2 linked regions of the Canis lupus familiaris genome follow. The protein of the gene in region 1 interacts with the protein of each later gene in a biochemical or structural test. Links are inferred from orthologs where the notes say so. Each region holds a gene or a part of one and is shown on either strand. Other genes may lie near its edges.

The links.
Region 2: the proteins of NID1 (region 1) and FBLN1 form a complex in vitro, tested with the Homo sapiens proteins (3 studies listed by BioGRID). The link is inferred for Canis lupus familiaris from reciprocal best matches to the Homo sapiens genes NID1 and FBLN1.

What each region holds. Positions count from the first base shown.
Region 1 is NC_049225.1:4,305,265-4,309,694, reverse strand, and holds the start of NID1 (nidogen-1), read right to left. Parts: upstream 2,858-4,430; 5' UTR 2,731-2,857; coding exon 2,506-2,730; intron 1-2,505. UniProt on the Homo sapiens protein: Sulfated glycoprotein widely distributed in basement membranes and tightly associated with laminin. Also binds to collagen IV and perlecan. It probably has a role in cell-extracellular matrix interactions.
Region 2 is NC_049231.1:21,559,135-21,563,493, reverse strand, and holds the start of FBLN1 (fibulin-1), read left to right. Parts: upstream 1-1,313; 5' UTR 1,314-1,328; coding exon 1,329-1,354; intron 1,355-3,498; coding exon 3,499-3,797; intron 3,798-4,359. UniProt on the Homo sapiens protein: Incorporated into fibronectin-containing matrix fibers. May play a role in cell adhesion and migration along protein fibers within the extracellular matrix (ECM).

The sequences.
Region 1 (4,430 bases):
GCCCAGCCAGTGGCAGATATAACATCCAACAGAGCTCTGGGATTCTTTCTCATTGAAGTGCAGATGAAACCCAAGTAGAGGGGCACTTGGGTGGCTCAGTGGTAGAGCATCTGCCTTTGGCTCAGGGCTTGATCCTGGGGTCCTAGGATCAAGTCCCACGTCGGGCTCTCCCCAGGGAGCCTGCTTCTCCCTCTGCCTATGTCTCTGCCTCTCTTGTCTCTCATGAATAAATAAATAAAATCTTAAAAAAAAAAAAAAAAAGAAAGAAAGAAACCCACATAGACCTGGAAGGTATGGTTTGACCAAAATCCTTTTTTATATTTTTTAATTTTTTCCCAATCGTAAAATCCTTTTTTTTATCAAGAAATTTTCAAAGTTTTTAGAATGTAATGTGGTTAGTCTAATGCCACAAATAAAGGTGAGGAGGAGGTCCCAAATTTAACAAAAGAATTCAGTGGGTCTGTTAAGAGGGAAAAAAGAAATTTCATTTTTATTTTCAATAACCTCTGGCTGGTATGTAGTATTTCCTGTCATTATGAATGCAGGCAACAAAGCCTAGTGGTAACTCTTAATAACCTTGCCACAAATAGAAAATCACAGGTATTCTCACACCACATTTTAGTCTCGCAGCACCTGTCTTCAAATGTTGTTTACTGTCCTCCTGATCTTGAAAATTCAGTAATTATCTGACTACCACCTCCCACTGGACTCACGGTTACACCTTACTATTTAATAATGGGTAAAGATAAGCACATATGTTACTTCAGACAGTTTTTGTTTTAATTCTTTGGTTTTTTTTTAAAAAACGTATTTATTCATGAAAGACACAGAGAAAGAAGCATTGACATAGGCAGAAGGAGAAGCAGGCTCCCTGAGGGGAGCCGGATGCGGGACTCGATCCCATGAGCCTGGGATCAGGACTTGAGCCAAAGGCAGAGGCTGAACCACTGAGCCACCCAGGTGCCCTTACTTTTAATATTTTTATCTGGATTTCAACATGATTGATTTCCTGGGCAATCCTGCAGATTTTGGTTTTTGTGATTAAAAATATTCCACGAGGGGGTGTTACAGGCTTCATCAGACTGCCCGGGGGGTCAGGGCAGTCAGCTCACTAGGGCGACCCTGTCCGAGGGTAGAGACTGCAGGGACTCAGTCCTCTCAGGCAAAGCCGGCGAGCTGCACGTGGGGTCGCCGAGGCGCGGTCGGCCCGCGCGGACGGGCACAGGCACTTCACAGGCAGGACAGGCTGCAGCCGCGGTTGCTGTCGCGTCCTCCCCCCACCCCCACTCTGGAATGCGCTCTGCTTTATATGAAACCCACATGGTGCGCGGCTGGGGAAGGCGGCGGCACGGAAGGACCGACAAGCTGACAGCGCCCCAGGCCCGGCCCATCCGGAGAAGGCTCCAGGGCTGACGCCCCCGGGCCCGCTCCCCGCGGGGCCCCCGTGGTGACCCTGCTCCGCCACAGGAACTGGATCGCCAGGTCGCCCTGCCTTCCCAGCGCTAAATTCTGGCCCGAAACGAGCGCCCGGCCGGAGAGCGGACTCACGGCCGAGACACACCCGGAGCCCGCACCCAGGCGCCGGCTGTCGGCGAAATCCCGGGCCCCGCGCGGCTGTGACGGGCTGCTCTGCCCCGAGCGCGGCCCGGACCTGCCCGCCCGGACCTGCCCGCCCGCCCGGCTCGCGGGCCCAAGGGACGGGTCCATAGCGGGACCAGCTGCCGGGGGGGGGGGGGGGGGGGGGGGGGCGGGGGGGACGCCTCCCGCGGTCCCGGGGTCCCGGGGGTGCCGGGGGCCTCGGGGTGCCGGGGGCCTCGGGGTGCTGGGGCCTCGGGGTGCCGGGGTCCCGGGGGTGCCGGCGGCCTCGGGGTGCCGGGGTCCCGGGGGTGTCAGGGGCCTCGGGGTGCTGGGGGCCTCGGGGTGCCGGGGTCCCGGGGGTGTCAGGGGCCTCGGGGTGCCGGGGGCCTCGGGGTGCCGGGGTCCCGGGGGTGCCGGGGGCCTCGGGGTGCTGGGGGTCCTCGGGGTGCCGGGGTCCCGGGGGTGCCGGGGGCCTCGGGGTGCTGGGGGCCTCGGGGTGCTGGGGCCTCGGGGTGCTGGGGGCCTCGGGGTGCCGGGGGCCTCGGGGTGCCGGGGGCCTCGGGATGCTGGGGCCTCGGGGTGCCGGGTCCCGGGGGTGCCGGGGGCCTCGGGGTGCTGGGGGTCCTCGGGGTGCCGGGGTCCCGGGGGTGTCAGGGGCCTCGGGGTGCTGGGGGCCTCGGGGTGCCAGGGGTGCCGGGGGCCTCGGGGTGCTGGGGCTCCCCGGGGCCGGCGGGGCGCGCGCGGAGCACCCCGGCCCGCACCCCTCCTGCTGCAGTGGCCCGGCCGGGGGTCCCCGTCCCCGCCCAGGACGCCCTCGTCCGGCCAGCCCCGCGGGCGCCCCCGCCGGCCCCCGCCTCCGTCCGCCGCCGGCTCGGCCCCACGCCCTCCGCCGCTACAGCCCCCGCCGGCCCCCCGACTCGCACTCACGTAGACCGAATCGATGTCGGATTTGTCGAAGAAGCGGAGCGCCCGCCTCAGCTCCAGGGCTGGGGAGACACGGTCGTCCCCGGGCTCCAGCTGCAGGTCCCCGTGTCCCGGACCGAACGGGAAGAGCTCCTGGCGGCTCAGGCAGCCCCCGGGCCCCACCAGCAGCAGCTGCAGCAGCAGCGCCCGCGTCCACGCAGTCTCGCCCCGGCGCCTCGCGGCCGACATGGTCCCGAACTGGCGTCCCGCAAACCTAGCGGCTCGGCGGACGAGGCCGGGGAGGGCGGAGACGTAACCGGACGCCCCTCGGCTGCCCCTGCACCCGCCTCCCGAGGTTCCCTCCCCGGGAAATAGCGGAGGAGGACCAGGGGAGGTGGGGGTGGGGAGGGGGAGGGGGAGGGCCCGCCCGCCCGGGGCCGGACGCGCCGCCGAGGCCGCCCAATGGGCGGGGGAGGGGGGGAGGGGGGGGAGGGGGGAGGGGCTCGGCCCACCCCCGGGGGAGGGGCTCGGCCCACCCCCGCGGTCCTGGCGCGTCGCCCTGGACCCCGCGGGGGCAGGAGCGCGGGGGCCGCGGGAGAGCCGAGCGCGCGGCTTCGCGCCCCGGGCCTGGGGTCCGGGCCCAGTCGGAGGGCGGGCTGCGTGGAAACGCTCCGCCTTCAGGAGCACAGTCCACCCCGGCGCTGCTCGGCGGCGTCCAGGTCGGACTCGCTGGGTGGGACTCTGGCAGGAAGAGGGGGCAGGTAGGTGCAGGAAATCAGGGAGAGGGGACTGGACCCGACGCGTTCATCTACTCATCCATCCAGATTTTCAGCGTCATTGAGTGAGGTGGAAGTTCGGCCAGACGGGGGGTCCCACCCTCGGAGACACAGTCACGAGTGTATATGATAATCCGGTGTTTGGTGGGGCGGGGCCCCCAAGTGATAAAATGACATTAGGGCTGGAATAATTGGCCAAGGAGAACTTCCGAGGGGGACCCGGGACTCGAACCACGGCTTCTGGAAGGGGATGGAAAAGTCATCAGGAGGCTGGGGAAGGGACGTTCTGGAAACTGGAGCTGTGAGCGGATTCAAGACACAATCTCCCAGTTGAGAATGTGGAACGAGGGCTGTTGGGAGGAAAGCCTTAATACCAAACCTAGGAATTTGAACTCGCTCTTAACGCTCAGAGAACAGCTATTGAGAGTTCCTGACAAAGGGCGATAAGGCATGTAGCTGGTGTCCTAAGTAATGGGTTGATCATTAATTTGGCATTCATTGGGAGGTCATCAGAGGGCTATTGAAAGGGAAAACAGGGGTGAGGGGTAGTGAGAATGGAAAAGGTGGATGGATATTGAGAAGAATTGGACCTAAGAGGCATTACAATGAAAGAAGGAATGAGACTTGATTATGAATCTGATATGGGGGTTAGGGAGAGAAGTTAGAATTGGGTGTAAGGTTTTGAGCCTGCAGGATTGCAAAACAGGGCTGCCTTTTGAAGTCAGGGACAGTGGGTGTTGGATATGTGCTTGCTATCAGACCTCTTAACCTAGAGAGGTCAACACGGGGCATTTCTGTTGCCTGTCACCAGCTAAAATGAAAGACCTAGGACGCAATTCGAAATAATTCTCACAGTAAACAGCAAATTCAATATAATATTTAAGGAGCAGGAGTCCTGAACCAATAGAAAACATAAAAAGCAAATGACATCCACCCTCTGAACAGAAAGTCTTTGATCATTCTGGATGTCTTTTTCTTTTAAATTCATTAGCTGTCACAGAAAACACTACATTTCTACAAGGTATCAGTTCGTTTTGCAACCACGATAACCCTAGGAGAGAGACCATCCCCATTTTCCTGAAGAGGGGCACAGAGATCCAGAGAGGTTTAAGTCATTTTGCTAAGGCTGCACAGCTGGAAGCCTGCAGGTGACCCAGGGTCGTCCAGTTCCAG
Region 2 (4,359 bases), on another chromosome or scaffold:
AGTAGGTGATGAGGTGGTGATGAGGCCAACCACAAGAGGTCCATAAGGTGCCAGATGTGGTGGTGGACCCTGGGCTGCAGCAATGAACAAGACACGCAGGTAAGAGGGGCGGAAGTACACAAGCAAACAGACACATGGACAAGATCAACTCAAGTGGACATGAACGCCACCAAGAAAATGGCCACAAAAGCCACTTTGATTTATCCAACATTTTCCACGATGATGTGGATGGAAGCTCTACAAAAAAATACACTCCTCAGGTGGTCAGATGAGAAGGGTGAGAATCGGGACCCACACAATCCGGAGTGCAGCAAAATGGGATTTACTGGTAGCAAGTTGTCAAGATCTGGAAATCAGGTTCCCCAAACTAATTACACTGACTCACAGTGTCAGAGTCCGCAAGTCAAGGACAGCACGGCCTGTCACTCATTCATTCAACAAACTTTGAGGGGGTGCTAATAGTGCTAGATATTGTCCTAAGCAGTGAAATTAAAACAAAAGAACACATAGGCCTGTCCTTGTGGGGCTCACATTTGGGCGGGAGGACGGACAATGAATAAGATGAACAAGTAAATGTGTGAGTGAGGGTAGGGATGAGCACTAATGAGCGGAGAAAGGGGGTTAGTGAGCATGTGTTTGAGGAGGCATTCTGTACTTTTCGGTAGGGTGCCTGGTGTCACTGATGCCCTGGGAAGCAGACTGATGAGGACATTAGTGCACAGGGGTTACTCAGGCTGGGCGGTTGGGATCAGTATGTGTGGAAGGAGGGGGAGAAGACAGGATTGGGCAGGGGGAGAAGCTGAGCTGTGACAAGGCCCGACAAAGACATCAGCCAGCCCCACATGGAGCTCGGGACATGGACGAGCCTTCAGAAACGTCTAAAATTAGGCCTTTATACTTTGTGTGGATCAGCTGTTGGACAAGCCTGCCCCTGGAAGGAGACGTGGCCTTCCTCAGCTGAGGCAATTCTCGAAGGGGGCAAGAGCAGCCAGGGATCAGGTCTTCCATTCCTGAAGAGGAACCTGGGCCATGCATCCCAGTGTCCACTATGCCAGGGAAAGCTTTGGCGAGGAGGAGATGTAGAAATGAGAAGCTGAGGGCATGAGGGCCAAAGCCTCTCCAGACAGAGGGGACATCAGATGCAAAGGTCCTGGGGAGGGACAACGCTTGGGAGTTCTAGGAGGCTAGTGTGGCTGGAGCTGAGTCAGTGTAGGAGTGGGGGGAAAGGGAGAAGGGAGGAGCCTACAGGCCTTTGCAAGGATTTTAATGTTCCCTGGGAGTAAGACTGGTGATTTGGAGGATTTTGAGCATGGTGCAATTTGACTTGCATGTGGAGACAACTCTGGCTGCTGCGGTAAGACTGGTGTGTGGGAAGGAAACAGAGATGAAGCAGAGGACAGGAGGGGAGCCCACAGGAATTATCCAAGTGGGGGTGATGGTGGCCTGGAGCCAGATAATGCTGCAGACATGGGGAAGGTTATCTGCTTCTTTTTATTTTTTTTTTAAGATTTTATTTATTTACCCATGAGAGACACACAGAGAAAGGCAGCGACACAGGCAGAGACCTGCTCTCCATCCTGAATTGGAGAAAAGCCTGCTTGCTTGGCTGGTCCAGGCAGGGGTCCATGCAGGATCCCGTCACTCCTGGATCCATTGACTACCAGGCAAGAATGGGCTCCGGGGCTTGCCCCACAGCTGGCAGCATCCCAGATGACTTGAGGCTCTTGGGGCCCAGTTCTCTCTCCTGGGCTGCAAGTTGGCAGGCTAAGGGGTAGGTCCTGGGGTCAGGGGGTCACGGAGCTGTGTGGTCACAGAAGCATCACTGGGGAAGAGAGAGGTTTTCCTGATCTTGACTCAGTCCCGCCAGGCAAGCAAGCCCCAGAAGGGGGACAGAATTCAATCAGACTCCTGATTCCTTCCATATGGAAGCGTGCATGAGACGGGGTGGGGAGGTGTCCCCACTGACATAGGAAGGCATCGGTGTTTGGTTAGGGGTTTCCTCGGTGCAGAATTAGCTACACTAGCCCGTTTTCTTTCTTTCTTTCTTTAAGATTTTATTTATATATTTATTTATTTATTTATTTATTTATTTATTTATTTATTTATTTATGAGACACACACACACACACACAGAGAGGCAGAGACACAGGCAGAGGGAGAAGCAGGCTCCATGCAGGGAGCCCCATGTGGGACTCGATCCCGTGTCTCCAGGATCACTCCCAGAGCTGAAGGCAGACTCTCAACTGCTGAGCCACCCAGCATCCCCATAGCCGGATTTCTTTTGCTTCTCTCCAGGGCTCCCTGAGCCATGCCTGGCTCGTCCACAATTGCACTGGGGCCCCAGAGGGTCCTGGGGGTTCCCGGGGCTGAGGCCCTCCCCCGTCAGCCTGCACACCCTGGGGGAGCTGGATGGAGACACCTGTTGTGTGACAGGACCCCTGTGAAGTCATGGGGTCCAGTGTGGAGACCTGGGGCCTGTGGGAAGACAAAGGTGCACACTGCTGTCCCTTGGATGCGGGTTCAGGCTCTGTCATTTCACGTGACTTCACACAAGTGGCTTTATCTCTGCGAGGCTCAGTTTCCCCAGCTGCAAAATGGGATCATAGCACTGACCTATCTGTCAGAGTTGCCAAGAGGAGTAAGCGGATGAATGTCCCTGGAGGCGTCATCCCACCACCTGTGGCTTATCATTGGCACACAGAAGCAGTCGGAAACTGTGGGTACGTGGGCTGCAGAGTCACATTCCTGGGGCTCAAATAGCAGCTCTGCCTCTTGCAACCCATGTGCCCTTGGAAAAATGACCTTCCAAGGCCCGTTTCCACATCTATAAAATAGAGATAATAAGCATATCATTGGCCCAGAATTGTGGGAACTAAAAGAGATGGGTCACTAAAGTGCTTGGCACATAGGATAAACGTCATAAATGTTAGCTATTATTATGTAAGGATATACTTGACTAGTGTCTCTCTCTCTCTCTCTCTCAAATAAAAATAAATAAATCTTTGAAAAAGAGGATGGGAAGGCGCCTGGGTGGCTCGGTTGGTTAAGTGTCAGACTCTTGGTTTCAGCTCAGGTCATGATCTCAGGGTCCTGGGATCGAGCCCCACGCTGGGCTCCACGCTCAGGAGGGGGTCTGCTTGAGAGTCTCTCCTACTGCCCCTCCCCCAGCTCTTGCACTCGCTCTCACTCTCTCCCTAAAATAAAAATAAATCCTTAAAAATACGCTGGGGGATATCCAGGGTTCGTGAGCGAGCGCTATACCAGTAATGTATAACGTATAATGAAAGGGCCCAAATCATTGAATATTATAGATTTTGACCAAGGCAAGGAGAAAGTTCTCCATCCAATTTCAAAACTCTGTAAACACTTTTCCATCTCTGTCTCAGAGAAGCCACCTCTCCTTTTAAGAAGCCCTTGAAACCTTTGGAAGGAAATGTCAAATGAGAAAAACTAGCTTGTCCTGACTTGTGAGGCTCAGTTGTTCCTTTTCTCGGTCAGCAGGTCCTCAGGGAGTACTGTCCGTGTGCCTGGCTGGGGACGCCAAGAGACAATGCCCAGGCCCTTGTCCCTACGGGACTCACCGTCGAGGGGCCTCCGGGTACAAGCTCAGACAGACCGGCTGAAATTTCCCGAGTGGCTGGCTGTCTTCCACGCAGAATCTCACCGAAAATGGCCATTCTGGAGGCGTGATCCAACAACCATTTCTTGGAATCGTAAATGTCTGAGGGTTGCTGCAAGACTCTCGATTATCTTGTTTTCTTCACCCATCAGAGCCAAGATTCTAATGCTACATCTGTGTGAGTATCTTTCGGTAATAAGAACCAAATGTTGTCGGTGGGAATGACTGGAAATTACACTGAGGATCAGAATGTGGGGTTTTAGATTCGCTCTTGGAAGGCAGTGCTGAGAAACAAACACACAAGACGTTTTCCCTATAAATCACCTCAGGATGTTGCAATACTCGGGTCTCCTGCCTCCTCCTGTCTCCAGGCATCCGGAAGACTGGGGTGAGGCGCCTTGGGGGAAGGTGTCCCCCAGCTGGTAGGAAATGTCCTGGAGTGCAAATAAAACCTCTAGCCCCCACTTCTGCTCTGAGCTTCTTTTTCTGCTACTAGAAATCTCCACTCAGATGTCCCATAGGCACCTCAGACTCAGTGTGTCCGAACTGGATCATCATTCCCCCCAGATCTGCTCTTCTATCTGCCAATCCCACGTTGGAGAAAGGCACCCGCTGGTCCTGGTCCTGGGCAGGAGATCTAGGACTCTCTCCTGATCTGCCCCTCCACCACCCATGTCACATCCACGTCAACCAAGCGCCGGTCCCCTCTTCTCCATCCCCTTGGCTCCTGTCCTGGTGTG